Linked DNA regions of Struthio camelus. Each later gene encodes a partner of the first gene's protein in a complex. Links are inferred from orthologs where the notes say so. Each region holds a gene or a part of one and is shown on either strand. Other genes may lie near its edges.

Evidence for each region.
Region 2: the proteins of SLC9A3 (region 1) and CHP1 are in contact, whole or in part, in a cryo-EM structure (PDB 7X2U), measured with the Homo sapiens proteins. The link is inferred for Struthio camelus from reciprocal best matches to the Homo sapiens genes SLC9A3 and CHP1. Residues at the interface, in NP_004165.2 of Homo sapiens: Tyr396, Arg397, Met398, Gln400, Glu402, Arg474, Leu475, Asn476, Glu477, Leu479, His480, Gly481, Arg482, Ala483, Phe484, Asp485, His486, Ile487, Leu488, Ser489, Ala490, Ile491, Glu492, Asp493, Ile494, Ser495, Gly496, Gln497, Asn501, Arg504; in NP_009167.1 of Homo sapiens: Arg30, Leu31, Arg34, Leu38, Lys40, Glu49, Phe51, Gln52, Arg53, Ile54, Glu56, Leu57, Ala58, Ile59, Asn60, Pro61, Leu62, Asp64, Ile66, Phe70, Phe83, Leu87, Phe90, Leu115, Phe117, Ala118, Leu121, Tyr122, Leu135, Leu139.

The regions. Positions count from the first base shown.
Region 1 is NC_090943.1:78,604,636-78,612,154, reverse strand, and holds the start of SLC9A3 (sodium/hydrogen exchanger 3), read right to left. Parts: upstream 3,040-7,519; 5' UTR 2,904-3,039; coding exon 2,708-2,903; intron 1-2,707. UniProt on the Homo sapiens protein: Plasma membrane Na(+)/H(+) antiporter. Exchanges intracellular H(+) ions for extracellular Na(+) in 1:1 stoichiometry, playing a key role in salt and fluid absorption and pH homeostasis.
Region 2 is NC_090946.1:41,177,493-41,185,080, reverse strand, and holds the start of CHP1 (calcineurin B homologous protein 1), read right to left. Parts: upstream 3,031-7,588; 5' UTR 3,016-3,030; coding exon 2,727-3,015; intron 1-2,726. Other genes in the region: piRNA biogenesis protein EXD1, read left to right, coding at 3,125-3,130, 3,325-3,532, 4,345-4,413, 5,418-5,469, 7,029-7,159. UniProt on the Homo sapiens protein: Calcium-binding protein involved in different processes such as regulation of vesicular trafficking, plasma membrane Na(+)/H(+) exchanger and gene transcription. Involved in the constitutive exocytic membrane traffic.

The sequences.
Region 1 (7,519 bases):
CAAGAGATAAGTATCCTTCACAAGCAGGAAGGGAAAAGAAAAACAAGAGGAATAAAAAAGAAAGGCTTCTTTTCCACAAAGCCCAAAACACTAGGTGTTTCTTTGCACATTTTGGATGCTTAGAAGATTTCATAAACAATAGTTTATGTTACAGAACATAAATGTCAGTACTAATTTCCATTCTATATGTATACAACAGGAATATCAAGACTCAGTAGAGCCGCATGAATCTCCTATTAAATGTACTCTCCCCAAAGCCATATAACATAATGGAATGAACCAATTTTACTCAGAAAAAATAAAAACTAAGGTTCTCCTAACGCAAAAGAAGGTAAAATCCTCTCAATTTTCATTCCCAGCTTCCAATAATAGGTCAAGTTGCTGCAGCTCCCAGAAGACCTTTTGCTAACCCAATTGCCATCAAACCTATCCACCAGTAAAATATCTCTACCATCCTCTGCAGCTACAGATGAGTGAGCCTGAATAGGTGAGAAGTGCCCCTCATCCTGCTGAATAACACACAGCAAAGGCTGTGGCTCAGCTCTGCTGCCTTCCCCCGCACCCCCACCCCCACCAGCTGGCAAACCAGGATACACAGGGGCAGATGTTCTGAGTTTTCTTCCTTGGTTCTCTTACATCTGCTTTTGGAATCGATGGATCTTCTTGGTCTTGGCATTTTTCCTCTTCAAAAAAAAAGTCTTCTAATTGATTTCTGGTCTACTTTCCAAAGCCCTTGACACACCTGGCTGGTAGGAGGCTGACAGGCTTCCTTGTCCTTCAGTGCCCTTTCCTGTTGGGTTGTATGGACCCCTCCATGCTTTCTGCATCAACCAGCTGTTGACCAACAAGTGTACACTTCTGCTCATCTGTATTTTATTTGTGGCTAGTGGGGAAACCAGGGGCATTCACAGGCTCTCAGTAGAGCACAGCAGTTGTCCACTGCTTCTGCAGAGACTATGGCCAGAGGAGTACAGTATTACAATTACGAATGCAAAGAGAGGAGAGAATGAAGTCTGAGAGCTTTGGAGAAGGAAACTGATGCAGAAAATGATAGATGCTGCCTACCAGCAGGTGACATGCTCTGTGCAGCTGTGAAAGGAGTGCAAATAATTTAAAAATAGAACCAGTGACATTCAGTTCCTGAACTTCTTACTTCTGAAGTAAATGCTGCACAAAATCCAAGAACACTTAGTACTTTATCAGGTGTTTATAAGTATACTGAGTACTTCATGGTAAAATGGCTCATCTTAATCCAGGCTCATCTTAATCCAGGCCATTGCAATTTAAATACAGGACAATCTCACAGCCCTGTTAGCTGCATAGTGTTTCTGCCACAACACTGATATGCTGTGCAGCACAAATACTACTGTGTACAGCAGTGGCACATACACAAAGCAGTCAAACCTTAATAACAGAGGCAAATATTAACTTATAATATCTCGAAAGGGAGATTCAAACCAGAAAATTGTGTTTTAGCACAAATCTACAGGGAATCAACATTGTCACCCTTTTTCCCTCTATATTTGGTTCCCTTATCTTTCTAGTTGATACAGCCCATCAGTAAAAGTCAATTAAATCATAATTATATTTTCATATAATCTCATTAATGCATCAGCCATGTGAACATAAAGTAGTTTCAAGATATAGCCCAATAGTAAACCAGATAAAGATATTAAAGTTATATATGTACAGTTAAACAGTTGGAGCCCAGGATGTAGGTGTCAGTAAGAAAACCTGTTTTACAAGATCACCTGTTAATAACCTCCCCTGATTTAAAAAAGAAAGTTTTATTAGGCTTTATTTGCATTTGGAGACAGCACTTTCCACCCAAACCTTATCGCACTTAACTTATGCGTTAGAAACGGTATACCTGTGCTGTCCATTTACATCATTGATTCTGTGTGACATGCGAAATCTGTGGAAGATGATTCCGGTATCTCCAGATATTATTATCAATACAAGTACAGAAAAGCATTTGCATGATTTTCAGCTGATAATGCCTTCTGAGCTGACACTGCTTTTGGAGGCTTATTAACGTTAAGACTGCTTTTGGCAGAGCCGTGAGGTTCAGAACACAGGAGCTGGAGCAGACCTAAGTTTACTCCTACTCCGCTCGCTGAGCCCTTGCTTTTCACTCACTCTACTCGCTCGAGGAAAACCCTGCGCGCTCTGAAGTCTGCCTTCCTTCAGCTGTATGATAGGGCCTGACAGAACATATTACCCTCCCCTGCAAACTCTGTTTTCTCATTCTCCTGCAAACATCGCTCGGCAGAGCAGAGGCTGCTCACTTCGGGTCAGCGTGGCTCGGGACAGCGCTGGCCAGCGTAACCACCGACCACCCTGGGGAGGACGGCGGACCACCGGCTAGAGCAGCAAGGCGCGATTTGCGCCTCGCTTCGGCGGCCAGCCGGCCCCGGGGGGCAGCGAGGCAGGGCTTCAGGGGACGCGCGGCCCCGCACGGAGCCGGCGGCAGCTCCGCCGCCCCCGGCGCTGCAGGCGAACCGGGTAACCCGCCGCGGCGGGTGAAGAGCACACTGCTCAGCACAGCGGAGGGCAGTGTTATGAAATCAGGACAGAGTACAGTAAAACCCCTGAAAACGGGTCAGTGGACTTACGATAAGCTTTCTTCATTTACGTGGGGTGGGAGAAGGGGAAGGGGAGGGGAGGAGGAGAGGAGGTATGCATTAAGATATAACTCCGGACTCACCGATTTTGGCCAAGCTGGCCACAAGTACCCAGAGTGTAATGACATAGGGGTCCTTGACGTGATCCCACTTGAAAGAGACGACGGCGAAGGTCTGAGGCTGGCTGCTATTTATAGGGCTGCCCGAGCTCCGCTGCCCCAGCGCCGCCGGCAGCGCCATCAGCCCCAGAAGCAGCCCCAGGCGGGGCGCCTGCCCCATCTCCCGGCCGCGTAGCGAGAGCCCTTGCAGCGCGGCCCGCGGAAACCCAGCCTCCGTGCTCCGCGGAGCGGCAGCATGCGCGCCTGGACGGGGCGGCCACGGAGGGGCTCTCTGCGCGCCGGCGGATGCTCCGCGGCGGGGCCAGCCGGCCGCCCGCACCTGCCTTTATGCGGCTGCCCCCCCCCGCCCCCGCGAGCGCCGGGGGCGGAGCTTCGCCGCCGCACCCGCGGAGCCGCCGCCGCCGCTGCTGCTGCCGCTGGGCGCCTGGGCAGCGGCGCCGCGCTGCGGGGCGGCGGGGGGGGGGGGCTGCGGCGCTGCCGCCGGCATCGCCCCGGCCAGGGGCGCCCGGCGGCGAGCGGGCAGGGGATCCCACCGTCCCTCAGCCCAACCCTTTCCCCGGTCCACCCGCGGGCACGCTCTCCACCAGGTGCTAGGGCAGCTGGTAGCAGCAGGCAGGGCTTGGCTGCATGCTTAGGTCTGCTTTCGGGGGTTGGTTGCTTGGTTTGGTTTTGCTCAGCTGTGCTGCGTGAGACGCGCTGCCTGCGGCTGCTTCGCCTGCTCTTCTGCGTGCTTACAACGCGGAGTCTTTCGGAGTTTGGCACTTCCCCCCCCCCCCCCCCCCAGCCTTCTTTCTCGCTGACCCCACCTGCCCGCTCTCGCTTGCGCTGCAGGCCGGAGGAGCCGGGGCAATCACCCCCCCACCCCGCGCCGTCCGTGCCCCCGTGCGCCCCCGGCAAGCGCAGCTCCGCGCGCCCTTCCGCAGGCAGCAGCGGCTGCAGCGCCCGGCTGCCCCGGCTGCGCTGCAGCAACCCGGCTGCCACACGTGCGGTCTGCTGCCTATGTGACTCTCGGTGGAAAAATACTACCTGCTCACTTTCCTTACCCGAGAGCTGTTTTTCTGTGGTTTTTTTTTTTTTGAATTTGGTTGTTTTTTTTCTTAGAGTTCAAAAACCGAACCTGATAAACTCTCCTGCAAAATGTTCAGAAGATAAAGAAGCAGTTTTGATTATTTTAATCACCTGGGATAAAAACAAGATACCTTTTCGAAGCCTAGATGAACTATGTTAAAAGCCTGCACAGGCACTCTATAAATCAATTAACTGGTCAATTAAAACAATAAATTTGCATAGAATGTCATTGTTACAAAGAGTGTCCATCATTATCACATTATAATCTCATTTAGCTAAGGAACTCGAGGAGCAAAGTTCTGCTAAGTTAATGCACTGAAGATTCAGTTATAACCTCAAAGCAAGTGCCAGGCTTGCCCTGATGCCTCTCGTCAAACAATCACATACCTTGTGTTTTTTATTTCCTCTATTTCTTCGTTATTTAAGGGAAAGAAAATTATGTGGAGTTTTTTTTAGACTAGGAGCCAGTCTGAAGACGGAATTGGCAATTTATTAGGAAGCAGGATAGACAGCAACACACTCCTTTTACATTTAGGAAATGTTGTAGCCAAATAACGTTTTGGTGCCTAACAACTAAAATACCATCTTTTCTTTTTTCTAGCTTTTTCTAAATGTGAGTTGGATACCTAAATGCCCTTGAGACTTTGGGCTCTAGTTTTTTAAAAGTTTTTGGGAATGGTTCTGGCCAATCATAGAATAACATTTTTGTGCACTGCCATTGTGGAGAAAACTATGGTTAGAAGGAAGTAAGTAGCTGCTGATCATCGCTGTATCCTAAGTTGCTGAGATCTGTGGATAGTAGCAGTTCATCGCTGTCAGCATCAGTTCCGTTTGCTGATATTTGCCAAAAGGGAATTTTAGTGGATACAAGCTATCAGCACATTTCTTAGTATCCCAGTTTATTCCATCACACCACAATCAAATAGCTTGTTTTAGCTGCAGCTAATAAAAGGGCACCACAACTGCTATAGGGTTCCAGCTTCTGTACGTGATCGTTCTCACATCTGGTTCCATCAAAATGATAACTGGGTTAAAAATAAACCTGCCTATTAAAAGTGTTGAAGCTAATCAATGGTAGGACAAATGGGCCAGAGAGCGTGAATACCTGCGGCTACACTAGAAAATATGAGAAACCCTCCAGTGGACCCTTTCCACAGACAGGCGAAGGCTGACACCTCACTTGGAGGACCTACAGCCAAGAGCATGCTTCTGGTTGTCCTTAGGGAGTGCTCCACTCATGGCAGCAGTGGCAATGCACAAACTAAGTTACGTGAAAGCTTTCGGTTTCCTGACCTTGGTGGACTTAAGGCAGTATTAGCAAACAGGAAAAATGTTAGAAATATTATCTTAGCACAGACATGTGCACGAATACCTGTTAAAAGCCCATTCCACTGAATATATATGTGCCCATGTACAGAATGTATAGTTGCACATTAAGAGCAAACCTCTGTTAAAATAATAAGTTTGCATATATATATGTATTCATAGATGTTATATTCTTGAAGGTCCTTTGTGGAAGCCCTCAGGCAGTTTCCCGTAGTTTCATTCTGTATCAGCAACAAATAGAAGGAGCTTCAGTACTATGTTTGCCATAAAAATCTATTACACAACAGTTGATATTTCCTGACTCTCCAAAATAAGAAACAGGAGCTTTGAAATATTACAAAAGGATTATTTCTAGGAATTATAAAATGCTGGCTAGCCCCTGAGTGATTTTTTCTAAATAAAAAATTTCAACATTGTCACTTCTGGGAATATTATGTAAGTAATTGCTTATGGTTTTTGAATGCAATTAGTAGTATCTCATACACCCCTCACATGCTCTGTGTGTTGCAAGAATTAACCCTTGGGGATTATTTTAAATATAATGTCAATAAAAAAGATTAATTTGAATCTTTAAAATTACATTAGTTTTCTCTAGAAAGCATATGCTGAGAATTTCAGTTGTACTAACCACAGTCAGAGGTAGAAATTTGAATGATGACATTTGCAAACAATTGTGTTTAAATGAAGTGAAATTAAGAAATATGTTCCTGTGGAACCCAGAACTTCTGTAAAAGAAAACAAATAAATCCAAGTGAAGAATCTGCAAATGAACTGTGAAAATCTCCTGCCACAATATAAATGACCATCACTCACTACCATCCTTGACTTCCCTCAAGGAAATGTACGGTTTTCATATTAACTCCTACAAAACACGTAAGTAGGTAAGGTAAGATTTTGAAAGGAATATAGTCCTGGACAATATATTTATGTCCTAATTCCACCAACAGTTAAATAGTTAAAAAGAACACTAATTCTTGTGAATGGCATTGAACCAACATAGCTGTACTACGTCGTGAAAATCAATGTAATGTGGGTTATATGCAGATGAATGCAGAGCTTTATGAATTTATAGTTAAACCTACTTGATGCAACAACTGACATGGTGCCAGTTTCTCTCCTGGAGAAATGAGCGCAGCTGTACCAGTTTGTGCAACAAAGAGTCGGACAAATGTTGCTGAGCTGAGTAGCGTTGCAGAATATTATGTTACAGCATGATGAATATGAACCTCTCAAATGGCTATGAGAAGCAATGTACTATTACAACCCACGCACATTGCCGCAAGTTTAAGCGGGCAAGAAGAAGGCTGGGGTGGCGGTGGGGGGCGCGTGAGTCAGATGGAGAGACGGGTGGATTCCTTTGGCTGGAAAGTGGTATGGCAGAGGAAACTTGCTTGATTTTTTTTTTTTTTTTATGCAAAGCCTCGTTTCAAGACCTGACTAGTTGAATTTTCAAGGACAGAAAATAGAGGGCATTTTTAACCAGATCACCCATTTTTAGCACCATGTCTTTTTGACACCAGATACCTAATACATTTTATCATCCAACGTTCAGAAAAAACATGCTTTTATAAAATGTCATTTGCATAAAAACTCCTCCTTATTTAAATTCCTATTTGAATGACCATTTTTCTATTGTGGGTTAGAATTTTCCTGGGCTTGGTAGTGGTCAAATGCAGAACAAAGCATAATCCTTAAATCCAGACTTTAAGACTGCAGAGTTTTCATCTCTGCCAATCTGCGTCTTCCACTCTCCTCCCTTCGCTCTCATATTGCACCCTTCGCACTCCTCCCTTTTTTGGCATCCCATTATCTGTTCAGTTTCTGCGTACTGCTGGCCTCTGCCCTCCTTTCTTTCCGTAAATCTTTTCTGCCAGTGCTCACCAATAATCCCAAATTCTGAGACCTAAAGAACCCTCGACGGCTACTTGCGTGTGAACTTTCATCCCAGTCCTTAAATCTCCCACGTGCCTCACTCTCTGTCCGTCCAAATTCAGCTTTGTCATGTTTCCCCACATATCCTTTTTTCCAGCTGCTCACATCAGCGAGACCAAAACAAACGCATATACCAGTGACAAGATGCAGCTCGCTAGTAGTTTGCTTAGTCCTAAATGAGTATGTATTTGCTGGTCTTTAAAAAGGAATTGTTATTTTACTCTATGTCAAAAACTCGAGGGGGGGGGGGAGTGGAGTGTGACAGAAGCCGCAACCACAGATTTCAGACATTAAGTTGGTAAAAAAGGAAATAAAAGTGCATCTCTCTGCACTGTTTCAGTATTCAGCCTTCTGTAGCTGAACCTGGGAGGGAAGGCAAGACAGAGGTGAGTTGCTTAAAGAAGAAACAAGCACATGTTAAATAACAAAAGCAGCGAAATAGACTAGTTT
Region 2 (7,588 bases), on another chromosome or scaffold:
TAAAAGCTTGCAGCAGAATGCTGACAAGTAACATCTAGGAACTTTCATCGACTTCTTTTAGTGGTTACTAAAATATAAGAGCAATTAGGACTACTTGAATGTTTTTTCAAACTCTAATTTCAGAATGTTTATATGCACAGCAAACAAATTCTGCAAAACATCATGTAATATTTAGGACTGTCAACTTGATGCTCAACTCCCGTTACTGAGTACCTACTGCAGATTATCTGCCACTAAGCAAAGGCTTTACAAGCAAATACATACTTGTCAGTTCTCGGAAGCATTACTTTTATACATGTTTCTAAACTTAATATGCTAAAAAGTGTCTTTTTCCACCACAATTAAAAAGACAAGCAATATAGAACCTGAATCACAACTTAGATTTCATCCAAGATATTTCTAAGCGTCAGCGTATGGCTTCTGAAAGACTGCTACAAATTCCCTTCAAAGATTTTTTTTTAATCTGCTCAGCTAAAGACCATTAACATATGATTTATCACTCCTATCAGTGTCATTAGCTGTTCAGTTTTGTGCTATTTAAAAATTAAGGAAGAGAGGAGTTATATACTTCCATAGTTCAACACCTTCCAATAGGTTAAGTGTTCTGTTCATGCATTTGCACTTACCCAAAATGAACTGGAAAAGTTGTTTCACAGTAAGGAATCCCCCAGAAAAGAAAGAATCCTTAGAAGTGCTTACCAGAACATTAGTTCAAGATGGACATTCAGTCCTGCCAAATAGTTTTCCTTTCATTAAGTCCCTTTCTCAAACTCTTCAGTAGGTGAAGTACCATCAGTATCGAGTTTCTAACAAATTGTAGGATACTCTACTCAGTGACACTGGCTTAGCATTCTTCCAGTGAACTCTGTTCCAAATAATCCAGTCTGGTTTTTCCCCATCTTGCACCTTGCACAGATATTTGCACCTATGCAAAGGTTATGACTGTGCTACCTAAAGCCTAATCTAAAGAACTACAAAAGGCAGAGGAGAATCATATGGTTACATGCAGGGAAAAAAAGAGAAAGACTGATAAAGCCCCAAAACAGATACTCTATGACAACTTACAAACAGGCATAAGAAGATTAGCAATGCTTGATTAATAATGCTGTATTTTACAACACTGCACATAAATGTGAATAGTAAAAAAAAAAAAAAAAAAAAGGCAGATTAGCCAAATTCAGGTCACAAAGCTTACACCTGCTGGCCACAGTCTTTAAGTTTCACACTTTAAAAACATATAAAAAAAGCTTTTAGGGGCTAACTACAACAGGATCTCTACTGGCTCCAGGTGGGCTTATCACTTAGATCATCTACATAGTTACCCTAATCATATTTATTTAACCATCAATCATCTAAAAATCTAGGAATGAAACACCACTGATAAAGCAAATACTGGAGCAGAGGAAACAAAAAAGTTAAGTCTTTTGGAAGAGTATTCCGGATCTGGAGTTTGTTTAAAACCTCTTTAGTAGGAGGCTACCTTTACTTTTATCTTTATTTTTTAAAAGGATCACAGAGTACTTTCTTGCTGGACAAGCAGACTCTTAAACTCCTACTTGTTTATCATAACGATGCTGTAGAAGTTCCCTTGATCGACAGAAAAAAGATCATGGAAAGTATGCTAACTCAGCTGCCTGTCATACTGGCCAGTACCGTCTCAGTTTTCTTGTACTCCCTCTCTGGATTCATTTGTTTTCCTGGCACAGATAAACTATCATCTAAAATGAATACGTGACAACATTTACACTGAAGAGGTAAAGTGTTTTCAGGTATCAAGGGCAGATCAGCAAGTGCAAGTAGGAAATAAGCGTGATCTAGGAAGACCTTGTTTCCGTACAGGAAGGCGGGGAAAAAAAAAAAACACCACACACACCCAAGGAAAAAAAAAGCAAGGTGACACCTAGGATGCCACACCCTCTTCTTTCCTGCTAAGGGTGTCCTACATATGCCATCATTCACTATCATTCTCAAATTGGCAATCATTGTAATCAGCCAAATTAACAAAACAAAGTCCTAAGTTTTACCTTGTCTTTATATTTAGAGAAAACTCAATATAACACTACAGGATAAACTAGCTACATAGCATTATCCAGTTAGGATAATGCTGTCCTATTTCTTGATTAAGACAGGAATTTTCACTTTTTTTTTTTTCCAGATTAACCATACCCAACTCTTACAGGTTACATTATTTCCTATACGTTTTAAATGTCGCTCAAGCATTCATTCGGAGTATCCTTAAGGCATCTTTAGCGATAGCCCATTTCGCAAATAGCACTTGGGGAAAAAGCGTACTATACAATGAGAGCTTCTCCAGAGCGGCTCATTAGGCTGAAACAGCTGCTTGAGAGAAACTCTAGAGCCAGAAACACAGGCAACTCTTCAAAACCCAAAGCAACAGAGCAAAGATCACGGCAGGTACCAAGTGCATTGCTTCCCCCCGCCTTTCGCCCGCTCCCGCCGCCGCAGTACAGCCCCTCTCCGCCCCGCGAGGCCCCGGGGCGCTCGCCGACCGAGAGGTACCTCCCCGCAGCCAGCCCGGGGCCTGGTGCGACCGGGCACTGCCCCACCGGCAGCGCAGGGGCCGCGCTCGCCTCCCCCCCGCCCCAGGGTGTGCCCCCTGCCCGGGCGCGACGCAGACGGCGGGGCAGCCGGCCGAGACGCTTCCCGGCCGGAGGGACGGGCCGCTGCCCCGCTCCGGACACCCGCCCGCTCGGCCCCACGCTCACAGCCCGTCTCCTTCTTGATCTCCTCGATCTCCTCGTCCCGCAGCAGCGTGGACGCCCGAGACCCCATCGCCGCCGCACGGGCAGGGCCGCCGAGCCGCGCTCCGCTCTGCTCCGCTCCGCTCCGCGCCGTACCGGGCCGAACCGGACAACGACACGCACCCGTCAGCAGCAGCGGCGGTTCAGCGAAAGGCCAGCCCGCCCCCGCCCCGCCCCCGTGGGCCAACCCGCGGGCGCACGCGCAGAGCGACGCCCCGCCAACGAGCGGGCACGCGCCCGCCTCTGACGTCATCGCGGGCGGCTGCTAAAGCTGAGCCGCAGGCCGCCTGCTGCTCCCGGCGTGCACTGCGCGAAGCAGCTGTAATTCCTTATCCCCCCCCCAATCCCTCCTCCGGAACGTCATGGCGGTAAGCTGCGCGCGCTCGGCCCTCCCCCGGCGATTGGGTAGGGGCTATGGTGGCTCCGCCCCGCGGGGCGGGGCCGCAGCTCGGCTCTCCGCGGCGGTGAGGCGAGCGCCCGCCGCCTCTCGGCTCTGTGGGGGCGCTGCGCGCTGCCGCGGCCGGCCCAGGCCTTCAGCCCCGTTCCTTGCTCCGTGCCGTAGGTGCCCCGTGAGGAGCCCGGCTGGCCGCGCCGGGGGACCCCGTCCGTGCTGCCGCCGCCTGCCACCGCCGCCGGCTGCCGCATGGCCCTCAGCAGCGAGCACTTCGGTGCCATCCTGGGGAGAACCGTCAAAATCACCTTAAAATGTGGCGTTTTCCAAGGGGTGCTGCAGCACGTGAACCCCGACCGGAGCCTGCTCCTGCGGACAGGTCGGGGCCGGGCCGGCAGGCAGGCAGCCCCGCAGCGCCGCCGGCGCGCCCGGCCCGGCCGGGGCGGGGCGGGGGCGCCCCTGCGGCCGTTGGGCCGTTAGCAGCCCCCCGCCCCTCGTGGGGTTGGCTGAGGCTGCGAGTTGCTCGTCACCTTCCAGAGTGCTGCGCGTAAAAGTCTGAGCTCCATGTTCAAAAAGCACTGTAACCGCCCCTCGTTTTTTTCCCCCCACCCTTGCGAGTAAGCTAAATCTGCGTGGAGGCAGCCTTATGGGGGAAGGGCAGTGGTGTACTGGCATCTTGCTCAGCCTTAAAAAAAATTATATCTTAACTAGGGTCTGTGGCACTCTAGTTACTAAGTGGCTGAACTTTCAAAAGTCTAAAAATAACCATGCTAATGCCATGCAGAAACCATTTAGAGCTAGTGTGTGCAGGCTCCCACGCAGAGCGTGCCTGCTGCTAGTTGTACACAGCCTAGCATCGGTATGTGCTTTCTGAGAGCCAAGCCCAGTCACTGGGATAAATAAAGCATCTACTTAAGGTAAAAGGTGCCTCGAATTATGCTCTCAGTTGTTTAGATCATGTGGGTGTAAAAGATCATAACTTGGTCCTACTAGGTGTACACAATCACTTTGTGGAAGCACTCTTCTGTTGAGTAAAAAACTTGTTATTGAGACCTGACTTGTTGCTTTTTTTTTTTTTTCAGGTGGAATTAGTAGAGCTAATCAGCCCTAAGGTCTTGTTTTGTTTTGCAAAGGATAAGCTTTTATTCCTAACAGTGGAACATGATGGATTGTTTTTCTTTTTCATTTCAGTGAAGAACTTGGACACTGGCAGAAGTGCCCCGGGAGCAAAGATGTTTTTTGGCCCTGAAATAGTCAATGGTGAAGCCTTTCTTAGTGCATATTAAGGCACAGGGATCATGGCTGCTCTTAGCGCTTTTTAATCTAATTGTGGACGCTCTGCTGAATTCTTCAGTTGCACAACTTTTCCCCAAAATCCCTAGGAATGAGAACATTGTCAAAGTCGCGGAACTTCTCTGTTCCCCAGTTATCTTCTATAAAATAATAGTAATTCCATGCCTTATGAAGGTCTCGTGACTGTACTGCCTTAAAGCTTTTGAGTTAAATAATGAATAAAGTCCAGTAAGGCCAGTTGAGATATGCATGCATCCTGTGTGCTTCTTAAAGGCAGGTTACATTCAATGTCTATGTTCTTATATATGGAAGACTCAGTGATGGACTCCCCTGGGAAGTTAAATCCCTGAAAACAGGGATTCTGATTGACTTGTTTTTTTGCATTCACTTGCAGAGATGAAAAGCATCTCTGTTAAGTGCTCTGTTTTATCTGACCCTCTTTCTGTGATTCATTAGTGGTAAAAATACGGAATTATTTAAGAAAAATGTTTGTAGTGCATGATGGTCCTGTGCGTTTCTGCTGCAGGTGCTAAGCTTTGCTTTGGGGACAAAGAGCAAAGTAGTGGTGGGAAAGAGCTAGAAGGCTCTTTACAAGTCTTTATCAGACTTAAGTGCTTAACTATGTCCATTCTATCTTTTTCCATGTAGCTGTTTTGTAGTAATAGTCTGTAAAGTAATAAGTTGTAGTTTGATATTGACTTTGTGTCTTTGAAAGGATGGTAAACCATGAATTAGTTTTGCTTAAATGCTACAGTTCTGAAATAGATCTCATCTAGGCTAGTGATATAAGTTAATTTTTACAGAATTGTACATCAGAGTGAATTATTTTTATTTAAGCTATGTTTTGAGTCCATTTTCTTTTGTGCAAGTCTGCTGGTTAGTATCAGTTTGGACTCTTCGTTTTGGGGGAAAATGAGTGTTAGGAAGTTGCTTGTTAGTGCTAGAGTATAAACTATTTATTTCTATTACAGTGGAATTGCTGGATGAACCAGGTTCAGAGAAGGGAACAGCAACACTCTCCGAGTATGTTGAAATGTTTTATTTGTTTATTTCCTTCACAATAGGAGAAAGGGTGGGACTGCACTTGCTAGGCCAGCCAGCACCTGCATTTTGTATCTTATCAATGTTCTGACTCAGCTATGCCAAGATTGTGTTTTTGTGCTCTAAAGAAGTGAGAAGGTGATGAGCGGAAAGCCTCTGCTGTTTTAAAAGATTCTTTCAAGCTATTACTACTCCTTATCTCTGCCCACTGCCCCTTAGTTTCCTAGGTAGAATAACTTGCTGAGGTTGTTTTTTTCCTTTTTTTTTTTTTTTTCCAGTCAGCTTGTTGTCTCAAGGAGAATTTCCCATGAGCGTTTCTTCTGTGCCTGAACAGTTCCTGAACAGTTGCACAGGCGGGTTAGGTTTAAGCAGATGCTTTCAAATGTATATAAACGTAATTTTGGGAAGCAGGTAAAAGTATGTTTCTCTGCTTTGAACTCCTGCAGACCCCTGCTGTTAGATGGCTGTGCGTTGAGTCTTTTCACAAGACCACATTTCATTAGTTTACTTTTCCTGTTAAAAGAAGTAGGAATGACGTGGCGTCTACTGAAAGTTCTTTAAAATACGGTTAGACAGCACGTATATTTGTTGAAAGCAGCAGTCTTCTCCCCTGCTGCTGTCTCTCTCCTTACGTGTGAATACATACACTTAAATATGCTAATTTTTCTAGGAGATTTATTTCTGTGTTAATCCATTAAATATAAAATGTTAGATACAAGATTCTTCACCTATATCTAAGGGCTGGTTGGAAAGTTATTTATGTTTCCCTGTATTGACATAGGGACATACATGGCTGGATCTGTATAATAATGGGATGTTTTTATATCAGTATAAAGGAATATATACTAATAGGGCATCCTTCCTCATAAAGTATGCTTTAATCAGACTGTCTTCTGTTGTAAGAATGAAGCATCTTATATGGGGCGTGTTTCTGTAAGGTGAATGGTTGATACTAACTGTTTTATCTTTTTGATTGTGATATGCCACTGTTTCAGTACTTACTTAATAACTTCCATTTGATAATGGGAAAGTTTCAGTTGATATAACTGTTTTATGTATTTATGGACTTTTGTAAAAACACCCTCCTAATCATAATATTTAAATAATTTATCTAATGTTTTTGATTCAACATGAAGATTTAAAAATATTTAAATTATATGGTGTTTGGGCTCAGGTCAGGTACCTCATTCTTGAAGTTGTTTGTGCTTTGAGCTCTTTCTCCTCTCAGACTTCATTACTGACCTTTGCAGCAAATATTTTTTCAGGTTGGGCTCCCACTTTCTGCTTTTTTCAGGAATAAAACTGAAATTTTATCCGAAATAAATGCCCGGGGCAAAATAAACTTCTGGTTGGGTAGCTTCAAGATCCCCTTTAAGAAACATGTGTAGTGGACTGGGAGGTTGCTTCAAATACAGCAGTTTGTTGTCTTACAGCAGGTAGATGGTGCTGGATGAAGTATTTATTAGAACATTCATGCTGGCAAAATGAGGTGTTATGTGTGGCCTTCTGTACTGTGTGTGGTCTCCCCCTTGCTTCTGCAGGTGTACTTCAGCTCTTGAAGGGAACACAGAAGCAGATACAGGCAGATCGGCATATTGTGGCCCATGGAGTTCTTGCATTTCCTTAGAGAACCAGCTGAGAGCCTGGAATAGCTTAAAAAACTGTCTTTCAGGTAACGTGGCTATTAGTCAAGCAATATAGTTTGTCTTTGTCAGACAAAACCTTTCCCAGAGGCTGTTATCCCTTCATACTCCTAGGGCTTGCCGGTTATCAGGGCAGGCTTTGCTCTGAAAGAGCAATGGTCGCAGATGGCCCAGAGCTCACTAGGCTGTGGACACGTCCGCAGCGTCAGAAAGAAACTCGTCTGCTTTCCAGAATGTTTATCCTGTAGTTTTCATCAACTATACAAGTGGCTGAGCAGTGTAGCTTATCTTTTCAAGAAGTTAAAGTACTTCAGTCAGTCAGTGTTCTTCTGTTGTGATTTAATCCTTTATTTGTTCCTCACATGTATGTAGCATGACAGATAGCCCAAAGCTCATTTAGGCTATTGCTCTTTGGTCCTGTGCTGGCTGTTACACTCTGAAGGTGCTTCCACAGATTT